Linked DNA regions of Notamacropus eugenii. The protein of the gene in region 1 interacts with the protein of each later gene in a pairwise test. Links are inferred from orthologs where the notes say so. Each region holds a gene or a part of one and is shown on either strand. Other genes may lie near its edges. The genes, in order: NAPB, STX16 and STX6.

What was found.
Region 2: the proteins of NAPB (region 1) and STX16 interact in binary tests that used the Homo sapiens proteins (3 or more experiments, as listed by UniProt). The two-hybrid records come from large-scale screens. The link is inferred for Notamacropus eugenii from reciprocal best matches to the Homo sapiens genes NAPB and STX16.
Region 3: the proteins of NAPB (region 1) and STX6 interact in binary tests that used the Homo sapiens proteins (3 or more experiments, as listed by UniProt). The two-hybrid records come from large-scale screens. The link is inferred for Notamacropus eugenii from reciprocal best matches to the Homo sapiens genes NAPB and STX6.

What each region holds. Positions count from the first base shown.
Region 1 is NC_092872.1:599,919,168-599,922,914, reverse strand, and holds the start of NAPB (beta-soluble NSF attachment protein), read left to right. Parts: upstream 1-845; 5' UTR 846-1,060; coding exon 1,061-1,158; intron 1,159-3,747. UniProt on the Homo sapiens protein: Required for vesicular transport between the endoplasmic reticulum and the Golgi apparatus.
Region 2 is NC_092872.1:506,554,915-506,558,661, reverse strand, and holds the start of STX16 (syntaxin-16), read left to right. Parts: upstream 1-886; 5' UTR 887-1,019; coding exon 1,020-1,157; intron 1,158-3,747. UniProt on the Homo sapiens protein: SNARE involved in vesicular transport from the late endosomes to the trans-Golgi network.
Region 3 is NC_092873.1:464,547,079-464,550,825, reverse strand, and holds the start of STX6 (syntaxin-6), read right to left. Parts: upstream 2,872-3,747; 5' UTR 2,563-2,871; coding exon 2,528-2,562; intron 1-2,527. UniProt on the Homo sapiens protein: SNARE promoting movement of transport vesicles to target membranes. Targets endosomes to the trans-Golgi network, and may therefore function in retrograde trafficking.

The DNA.
Region 1 (3,747 bases):
GAGGTGGACTTCCAAGATGAAAAGGCTACTGTGGCACGGTGGAAGCAAGTCTTTCTAGAATCAGGCGCTAGAACCGGGATCTCTATTCTGCAGATATGGAAACAAGGTTTATCAATCTAGAGCTAGAAGGTCCTTTAGGGTAATTCAGTTCAACTGTCTCGTTTTTTTAGATGAGTCCTGGCAAGGCTGAGATCCCCAAGGTGAGTCAGGTTCCACTCCCGCCTCGGTGCTGTCACCGCGGAGCTGTCCAGGGTCCCAAAGCCGGTGTCAGGCTGAGGGCTTGACGCCTCCCGTGTCCTGACTGCAGGACTTTCTCTTCTGCACCTTGCAGACGTCCGCACCCCAGCCTGTGATCAATGACCTGTCAATGACCATTGCTCATAGAATCCCGAGATTCCGTGAAAGCCTTAGAAACATATTCCAGGGACTATGAAGAGAGAATCAAGCCTGGTGTTTGGGGACCCAAGGATGGATCATCGTGTCCTATTATCTGCGTCTGTGCCTTCTTTCCCCCCTTTAGACTTCAAGCTTCGTGAGGACCGCCACCTCATTTAGAATGCATTATTTTGTCCTGTACCTTAGTACAAGGTTCCCTATCAAAGTGGCCCTTAATAAAGGTTGGGTGAACGGACAAAATGGCTAATGATAATATGCATTTTATGCTTCCCAGGCTCTGGCGACTCTTTAACTCGCATCCTCCCTACCCCTCCTACGTCGGGTCACACCCCCCCAAATGCAGCATCTCTAGCATACAGGTTTGCCACACCAGGGGGCGGAAGGGAGCGAGTCCGCACACTGCACCGGTCCTACTCTCTTCTGGGAAATGTAGTTTTCGCCTCTTCGAATTCTGAGACCAAAGCGGGGAGAATGGACTACAAATCCCGAAATGCTTTGCGACCCAGACCTGAGCTTCTCCCTCCTCCCCTCCGCTGAGGAGAAACTCTAGAGGCGCGTTCCCCAGCCAGCAAGCTGGGGGTTCCGTTAGGCTGAATCGTCGTTCTCCGCCGCCGTTACTCAGTTATTCTCCACCCGGAATCCGAGGAGCTTAAAGGCGACAGACATGGACAATGCGGGCAAGGAACGAGAGGCGGTCCAGCTGATGGCGGAGGCCGAGAAGCGCGTGAAGTCCTCCCACTCGTTCTTGAGAGGGCTGTTTGGGTGAGCGCCAGCCCTGCGGGGTAGCTCCTTCCTCCCCCTCCCCGCCCCCGCCGCGCTGCTCCGGGGGTTCCGCCACCGTCCGCCCCCTCTCTCTCCCACGTCCCCCGGGGCCTCCGAGTGGGCCTGGCGCCCCGCATCAGGGGGCGGGAGGGATAGACAGCGCGCACCTCCCCACGGCACTGAGCCGGAGCTTGGGCGTCGGGGATGGGGAGGCTTCCTGCCTCCCTCGGGGAGGAAGCTGCAGTCCCCGCGGGAGGCTCGCGGAATCCCTGGGCCTCCTGGTGCCCGTCACCTCTGTAGGGTGGATAAGGACAAATAACCCGTCCACCCCCTCCTCCGCCTTGCGCCCGGCCTACTGCGAGTCTAGCACTTCTTATTTAGGGAGCGGGGTTGAGGGGCCTTAGCCGCCGTACTGAAGGACCCCCCAACCCCCCGACACTCGGGTGCATGCCGACCAGCAACAGATTGTCATTTCCCCCCTGCCGGAGGTTCACTGCCGAACGCCCGTGCCTGAGTTCGTTTCTTGGTTGGTTGGAAGCTCCTGGGTGGATGTTAATTTGAGGACCATCTCGCCTTTAGTTCTGAATTGAAGTCTTTAAATAGCCCTTTGGGAACCCAGACTAAAAACGAGTTAACTTATCTTCCAACGTCTGAGGAGAGAGTTTTTAATAATGTAATCTGGTATGAAAGCGATGCAGAGATTTAGCTACTGTTAATCCTTCGGCTCTGGCTTGTGGCCATGTTATCACTAGAGATTTATGCAGGAGGAAAGGATGAATTCTCCTTCTGGGTTTTTCTGTTTCTGGCAGCAGACGCTGGGCCCTGTAAGAATTCCTCTCGGATTTTAATCATTTGCTTAGTGCCTGTTTGCTACAGTTATGCATAACACAGAGCCATTTGAAGGCACTCAGTTTGATAAATGAATAAATTGCTTAAATGGGTTCATTTCTTTTGTCTCTTCTATAGCCAAAAGAGCTCATTTCATTAATAGTAAATATTTAAAACCAGTATCAGAAATTCAGCTGATCTCTTAATTATTTTCAGTAGTTTCTGATGGGAAATTTAATTTGGCACACTTGATAAAGAAGAACTAGAAGAATAGCAATATTTGCTGCTTCCTGAATTCAACTGCTTTTGAATGATTCAGCTATTTAAAATGGAAAAACAGTGACATTTCCTCACTCCCGTTAAAAGTGAAAACTCACCCCATTTTAATCAAGCAGGGAAGATCTCACTGTCGTTTAATTCTGGCAAATCCTTTTCAAAATTCTGCTTCCTGTAGAGGTGTATTTTATAGCACTCTTGTGTTATAGTTTTCTTTTTTTTCCTGTAGTTTTAGTTTGAAATCGTAGTAAAGAAAAATACATGTAACAGGTTCACTTTTTCTGGAGCCAACTTTTTATTTTCTTTAATTGGTCATTCTCTTAATAGAGTGTGAGTTTGGAAGAAATCAAATTCATTTAGACTGCTTTTTCTTCTGCAAGTTCAGCGTTTGTTTGGTAGTGGATTTATCATTTATTGTCATTTTTTCTCTTTAGTTAATGGTAAATATTCTTTATTACATTTGATACAGAATCTGAAATTCTAATGACTATCTTATAGGATTTTCTTTTAAATCTTGATGTTTAGCAAGTACTATTAGCATACTTGAAAAGCAGCATAGTGTAATAGAAGCAGCATGAGAGTAGAGCTAGAAGAACTTTAAGGCAGTTTCCTCATCTATAAAATGAAGATATTACTTTCATTGTCTACCAAGTAGGCCTTGTGAGATTTATGTGATATAATATACAGTGTATACAAATACTTTATATAGAGTACCTTGTAATTTATGATTACTCTTTGATGATGTGCTATTAGCCCATTTTTCAGACCCTCAGATTAGTTTTATTTAATATAATAAAATTTAATCAAAAGAAATACTAAGATTATTTTCAATTTCATATGTCACTCTATGTAGTAGGAATCATTTTTACAATATATTAAATTTGTATTGCTCTGCTTTTAAAGTCAAAAGGATTATCTTCAAGGAAAGTATTCAGTGTTATTATTAGGTTGTTGCTTTTTTAAAACATATTTTCCTTTACACATTTTTTCCCAAAAGAACTCAGCTAACTCTTGAGTAGTATATAAAACATAGACCTAAAAGAACTTTTGGAAATCCCTTTTGTTTTTCTTTCTAAATACATTTTTATTCATATCTTTCTTAATATATATCTCCCAAAATAGAGGGGTTCCTTTCGTTTTAAGGAAAGAATAGGTTAAAATTTTTTCTTTTTTATCATATTCTATTGACCCAACTTATTTCACCTCTTTAGAAGACCATAAACCTCGCAAGGGGAAAAACAAAACACCTCTCAATCTTTCTGAAGTTCCTTCTGTCAGTAAACATTAGAGTCATATGTCTGAGTTGAAAGAAATCCCCAAAGTCCCTAGAGTTTGATTCCTTTCCTTCAGGTAAATAAGATAGCTATTTTAGATGAAGTAAATAAAGACTGCATACTCTATTACGGCCCACTGACTTAATTACTATTCCTCAAACTTGGCATTCCTATTTTCAGCTTCTGAGCCTTTCCACAGACTGTCGTTTCA
Region 2 (3,747 bases), about 93 Mb from region 1:
TCCCACCCCTTTGGTGGTCGTTAACCCCAGAATGAGAGGCTAATAAAGAGCACCGGCCCGTGGGGGCTGGGATGGAGTCACCAGTCTGCCCTTTCCCAAACCTCTGAGATTTGGGAAATCCGCTTCACGTTCATGGGCTTCATTTCCTCACTCATCAAATGAAGGGGCTGGTCTCTAAGGAAGAGTCCAGCTCTGAACCCTATTCTCCTTTCAGGAAGAGAAAGGTAGGACAAAGCGGAACTAGAGCAGCATTTGAGGATACGGCCTCACCGAGAAAGCTCTGAGCGCAGCTACCAAGCCGGGCTGGGGGCCGGGCCAAGGGAGCAGGGCGGAGCTGAGGGAAGAGCGCCCGGAACGTGAGGAGCCCGGGCAGCAGCGGCAGGGGCCACTTAAGGAGGACGGACCGGAAGCGGGAAGGGGGACTCTTGAGCCGATGGAACGCCGACGCGGAAGTGGCCGGGCTGCTGTAGTCAGATCCGGGGATGGATGGAGCCGGAGGCGGCGGCGGCGGCAGCGGCGGAGTACAGGAATGATGAGGCTGAGGATTGCGCTGCTTCCCCCCCGGGAGGCCCTGTAGCCGGAGGGGGGACGAGGCGCCGGGCGTGAGGCTCTCCTGCCTCGAGCCCCTGGAGGGAGGAGGACGAAGACCCGGGACGTCGGGGCCGGGAGCCCGGCTGGGCTCTGACAGGCCCGTGGACGGGCTCCGAACGATCTGGAGGGGCCAGGCCCGGCCGGGGCTCCCTGAGGGGGACCCAGGACAACCCCAAGAAGGGCGGGGGCTCGGCAAGACACCCGGGGTCGGGTGGGAATTAGACCGTTAGAAATCCAAGCTAGGATTTGGGGAAGGAGTGGGCGGGGGACCTCCCCCTTTACTCCCCCCTTCCCACTCTGCCCCTGCCCCTTGAGGGCAAAGTGGGGAAGCTTGAGGGGAGGCGGCCCCCGCAGGGTCCGAGGAATTCTGAGGTTCAGGCCGAGGCTCTGAGTGGGGGTCCCCCACGGGGAGGCGTGCAGGGTTAAGCATGGCCACCCGGCGTTTAACCGACGCTTTCTTGTTGTTGCGGAACAATTCCATCCAAAACCGGCAGCTGTTAGCCGAGCAAGTGAGTAGTTACACCTCCTCCACCTCCAGCCCTCTGCATTCACGTAGCGTTGCTGCGGTGAGTCTCCTGCCGGCCTCCTCCACCTGCTCCTCGCGGTGCCCCGCGCTCCGGCGTGCGCGCCGTCCCTCTCTCTGTCTCTCTCTCTCTGTCTCTCTCTGTCTCTCTCTCTGTCTCTCTGTCTCTGTCTCTCTCTCTCTCTCTCTCTCTCTCTCTCTCTCTCTCTCTCTCTCTCTCTCTCTCTCTCTCTCTCTCTGTCTCTCTCTCTCTGTCCCTCTGTCTCTCTGTCTCTCTCTCTCTCACTCTCTCTGTCTCTCTGTCCCTCTGTCTGTCTCTCTGCCTTTCTGTGTGTCTACGCGTCTCTGTCAATGCCTTTCTCTCTGTGTCTCTCTTGAAATGTCGTTGTCTTGTGGTTGTTAGGAGGCATCAGACTGTAGTGCTAGGTTTTGTTTTGAATTCTCCCCCCCCTGCCGTCTCTCCCTCCTGTCCCCCTGTCCCCCCATTCCTTGGGCTTTCCCTTCCAACTTTCACAGAGCCGCCCTCGCTGCGGACTCGGACGAGTTCCTCCCGCCGGGTCCTGCTCGGTTCTGAAGCCCTGTGTTGGATGCTTCATGAAGCGCTGTCTCAGGCTTTCGTGGCTTCATGTTTACCCTCACCCCCTCCTCCCCTGTCTTTTCATTCCGATGCCTCCCCTTTTTGTCCAACAGATATTCTCTTCAAAATGACTCTGTGGAATGGAGTCGTTTTAGCCTCATTTTATCCAGTGAGGATTTTCCATTCCTGTGTGGCAGTCGAGTCTCTTCTTGCTTTATGCTTTTAATAATTTGTTTCCCTATTTCCTGAAGAAGACAGTTTTGTGAAACTGTAAGGTTGGGAAGGGGTGGACTTCCCTGTTTTCATTTTCCATTCAGGAAATGAGTCCTTTCATTATGACTGCCTTTCACACGGTGTCTGTGTGGGAATTAAATTAATACTGGCACTTTTTTTTTTTAGGCCTATTAGCCCAGCAGTCCAGTAAATTGCCTGTGGCACCACACTTTTCAAAAATGAATCCTAGCTTGAGTTTAGATTTATTAGTAGAAATGGTGTTTAAATTAAAATTTAAAATTACATTAAATTAAAAATGGTATTGGTGGTTATATTATTAGAAGACATGACTCAGCTCTTACAGAGACAAATACTTAGGAACTGTCATTTAAACCCATAGACTTAGAAATGCCACTTTAGAGACTTACTAGAAACTTGCTCTCCTTCAGAGACCCCTTGAATTTTGCTATGATTACCACCAATTTCTTCTGAAAATTTATTTCATATGTGGGATATTCACAAAGTGACTCTCTAAGGATATACTCGGTCCCTTCTTTATCGATTCATACGTATAGTCTGTATTTTTTGAGCTGAAAAAGTATGGTTTTGTTTTATGAGATGTTAGATTTGAGATGAAATAGGCCCAAGTACCAAAACATGCGTGACCTGCTATATTTGCATATACACACTTGGTTAGGAATCTGAAAAGCTATGATCCTTAGAGGTATTGTTGAGTTAGGTTGGATCTAACTTGTAGTGACCCCGTTTGAAGTTTTCCTGTCAAAGATTCTGGAGTAGTTTGCCATTCCCTTCTCTGGCTCATTTTACAGATGAAGAAACTGAGGCAAACAGTTAAGTGACTTGACCAGGTCCACAGCTAGTGTGGGGGGCTGGACTTGAACTTTTGAAAATGAGTCTTCCTGATTCCAAGCCCAGATCTTAGAAGCATGCTATACTTAATATCCTGTTGAGCTTATTAGTCTACTGGGTTCTGGCGATTATTAGCTTTATGACCCTAGGCAAGTTACTTAACCTTTAATTACTTCAAACTTTAGGAATTAATAGATCATAAATTTATTTGCAATCTGCTTCTGTGGAGGAATCTTCCACATAATGGGTTATGTATGCTGGGGAATAAAACTACTGTATAGAGGTTCTCAGAAAACAAATCTTATAAATTATTTTTAAAATACAATCTTGAAAAAGGCTAAAGATGTTTGATAATATAGACATGGAATTATTCAAGCCCTAAATGGGGAAAGTTAGACTGGTGCAACTTAGGAAACAGAAGAACAATATATCAATTACCAATTTCTGTTTATACCTTACAGAACAAATTGTTTAAAAGTTATTGTGCCTTTCATAATGGAGTAGTAGTGAAATAAGGCTGTTTATACTTTGCAAGTACAGCCATTTCCCAGCAGGAAACCAGACTTTTCAAAAAGTATGTGATAGTAGTACTGCTGATCAAGGCACAAAGCCCTGAAAAATAAAATAGCTTTGAAAATAGTAGTATGTACAAAATTCTCAATTTTCTCTCAATTTTTTTTCAAAAGTTCGAAATCAAACTAGAGAGGAGGCATGGTAGGATATGGTAGAATAGAAGGAGCACAATTGTTTAGGAGTCAGGAAGCCTAAGCCCTTTCCTCTGCTACTAATTTAACAGTGTGATCCTGGGGAAATCATCTCTCTGAGTTTCACTTTCCTTGTCTGTGAAGTAAGGGATTAGATTAAATTATCTCTAAAGCCTTTAGAAGTCTAAAGTTCTTTGATACTAATATCTCTTTAACTCAGGATTTATGATAATCAAAAAGCATTACCATCTGCTGGGTTAAGATTTGCA
Region 3 (3,747 bases), on another chromosome or scaffold:
GTGTACGTTGTACATCTGATTTCTTCAAACTGACTCAGATCCTAGACAGCAGAAAATACACTTTAGTTTCTTTTTTAATCCCACTCAAAACCCATCACATTAGCCCAATGATTAGAAGAAGGTTCATCAAACTACCATCAAATAAGCAAATGTACAAAACTAAGCAATAACAAAATCCACTCCCTTCATCTTTCCATGGCACAAAAGGTATTACTAAATGCCTTCCTACTGAACAACCTTAACATCAAAGGGGGAAATAATGAACAAAGCAACAAAAAGAACAGCTCAACATTCCATGGTTGGAATTTTAAACTTCTGTCACTGTACCTATATTGGAAGGCTAAACACAATGAAAAGATGGCACAGCACTTGGTAGCGCTTTGAAATTTCATACAATTATCACGTACTTCTCCAAGTCTATAACTGCCATTTCTACTCGACTCAAGCATCAATGAGGAGAAACAAAGGATTTAAAATAACCAATTCCTAAATACCAGAAAACTTTATTATAGCTCACACTTTCTTAACTTAGAAAACTAAATATCATATATATATATATATATATATATATATACACGTGTGTGTGTGTGTGTGTGTGTGTGTGTGTGTGTGGAGAGGGGGAGAGAGAGGGAGAGAGGGAGAGAGAGAGAGAGAGAGAGAGAGAGAGAGAGAGAGAGAGAGAGAGAGAGGAGGGGAGAGAGGGAGAGACAGAGAGAGCTTGAGAGAAAAGAGCAGTGTTTTACAACGTATAAAGCACCGTTTCTTAAACAATCCAATAGTAAATGAAGAACCGGAGAAAGCAACAGTTTAGCTCAGCAGGTTTTTCCACCTTTATGACACAAAATTAACTATAGGGAAAAGAACTTTCAAGGGCACTATTCAGAAGAAGGATGAACTTTTTACACTGTATTTTCCCCCAAGAATCACAATACAATGATTAAATGTGCTTGACACTTGAGAGTAAAAATATTAGCATTCGCAAAAAAGACAACCTCTCTGTAGGCTTTGCCCTCTATAGTAATGAAGTTCATGACAACTAAGAAAGCAAAATAGCATAAAAAGTTAGCTATGTGTTTTGCACCCTTCAATCTTTCAGATATTCTTATCCAGGCAAGAGCATCCAGATCTGCAATTAAGAGGATTCAATTCAAATCCTATCAAGACCTCGGCTAAATCATTCAATCGGACCTCTGTGCTTCACTTTCTTCAACTGTAAAATACAGGGATTTTTACTTTCAAAGCATCTTGTAATACAAAATCTACAATGCTCTTCTCACCCGAAAATAGAGATTACATGCTAGAACTGTGATTTTTTTTCCCTCCCTGACGAATAACTTTCTACCAATGCAGGTCAGCACACAGAGTGCTAAGAGGATAAGTGACTTTTCTAAGGGGTTATAGGCTATTACATGTCAGAGGTAGGGCAATCAAGTTCTTCCTGGCCTCCTCTCTATCCACTACACTAAGATGCCTCTCCAACATATACTTCCTAATTAAGCTGTTACTGAAAAATTACAATCTTATTCTCTTTCTACCATTCGTTAAAGGCTTTAGTCAACTCAAAAAATGCTTTTTTTCGCCTTCCAACAAAACAAAACAAAAAAATCCCAACAATGGATAATCAGAGAAGACGCCAACTAATGGAAAAACAAATTTGAGACACTTAAAAGATCAATCCAGGTGATGACTTAGCAGAAAAAGCATCTGAAATAGACTGGATTAACTACAGGAGTTTTTAAGACAGCTCATTTCCTTCAAGGAGCGTGGGAAAACACCCGCTGCTACTGGAAAGCCGTGCAAAGTTTGGTTTGGCTGGTTTCGCTCGGTTTTCTTTCCAACACCATTACTGAGCATGGAAGGTTGTTTCTCTTCCATAGTATTACTCAATACACTTTAAAAAATCTCCCCCAGCATTCAGTTTGCTCCGCATTCCCTCTGCCCACGGCTCCCCACCCCCCGGCTGTCTGCCCACCCTCCCCACGCCTCCCTCCCAACAGGCTTCGACACTTCTCGGCCGTCCGTGGGCTCCCCCAGACTGAAGGCTCCGTCCTGGAGACAATGGGAGTTTACTCAAGTGGAGTCCATCTGGGGGCTGGGCCGGGGACTCCACAGGTGGAGGAAATCACTCCCCCGGCGCAGGTCCGTCCATTCTCCGTGGTCAGTGGTCAGAGAGGCGGCCCCCAGCCCCGGAGCTTCAGTGAATGGCCCCGAGCCCCCCTCGCGGCCCGCGGCTGACACAGGCCTCTCCTTTGACGCATGCAATGGCTCTCACTCCGGGACGTGGGTAACCCACGCATGACCGTCCTCCCCTCTCCGAACACGCAGTGCACCCCCACCCCGTCACCGTCCGGGGCTGACAGATCGGCCAGACCCCGGTCTCAGGGGGCTCCAGGCCGCAGGGGTGCTCGACCCTGAGGAAAGGTCCCCGGGGCTGCTCCGGAACAGGCCGGCGCGCTCCGTGCGTCCGTGCCCGAGTGGGAGCGCGCGCGGCGGGGCCGGGCTTCCTTCCCCAGACCGCCTTACTCACCCTTTCACCACAAAGAAGGGGTCCTCCATGGACATGGCGTCCCGGCGGCCGCCCCGCCGCAGCCCGTCCGCACGCACCGGGCTCCTCCTCCCCGCGCTTCCGCCGCTCCCTGAGGTTCACGGGGCTTGAAAAGTCGGCGGGCCAGCGAGGGGAACGCGCGCGGTGCCGCCGGCGCGACAGTCTCGCAGGAGCGGCCTGCCGCTAGCAGCAACGCAAAGGAGGCGGCCGCAGGCTCCAGACTCGATCACCGTCCGCCTCCCCGCCCGGACCCTCCCGGGCCGGCTCCCCCCCAAGCCTCCGCCCCTAGTGGCCCCGCCCCCTCGGCCCCGACCAATCACAAGCACACTTACTGAAGCACCACTTCCGCACTCCGCTCTCACGTGACATGGCCAGGGCCCGCCCCCTCCTCCAGTAGAAGCTGTGGGTTTTCGGTCACGTGACGAGAGTTGGGGCCGCCAGGAGCCTCGGGAGTTGGAGGCGGGGCTGCTTTCCCGTGTCACGTGGCCGGGGAGGCTCATTTCTAGAGGAGGGACGGGTCTCCAATGATACTCTTTTCATACCTCCCCGGGGGGGAGGGACCTTTTTCACCCGGTTTACGAAGTGGTTTGAGTTTCCCGCTCTACGTTTTCTGTTGCTAGACCGTGCCTCCCTTCTTTTTACTTCCATCTTGACAATCGAAAGATTGTTCCTTTATTTTCGTCACATCTGACCCTTGGGGCCCCTTTGGGGTTTTCTTGGCCAAGATCCTGGAGCGGTTCGCCTTTGCCTTCTCCGGCCCGTTGGACAGACGAGGAAACTGAGGCCCACAGCGTGAAGCGAGGCGCCGGGGGTCACCAGCTGGGAAGTGCCCGGGGAGGGCCGAGCCTGTCCGGGGCTTCACCCCCCAGAGGCCTGCATGGTTCCTGTGCTCTAGTCTGGCCAAGTTTCTTTTCTTTACGGTGTTGTGCTCCTATAAGCTGGTTCTTCTAGACTCAGAAATGAAGGGGATCCACTAATCTGGATTCACTGAGGACCACGACTGCCGTAGTGCATAATGTAATGTCCACGCTTTGTTGTATTTTCGCTTATTTTGTTACGCACTTCCCAATTACACTGTAATATTATTTAGGGAGGGCTGTTGGAGACCTGTCATCCGGACAATCAACAAACAATACATTAAACCCTCATTTATAGCTTGCCTATTTCCTTTCCGGCCTCAGGAGCTGACTCCAACACATCTC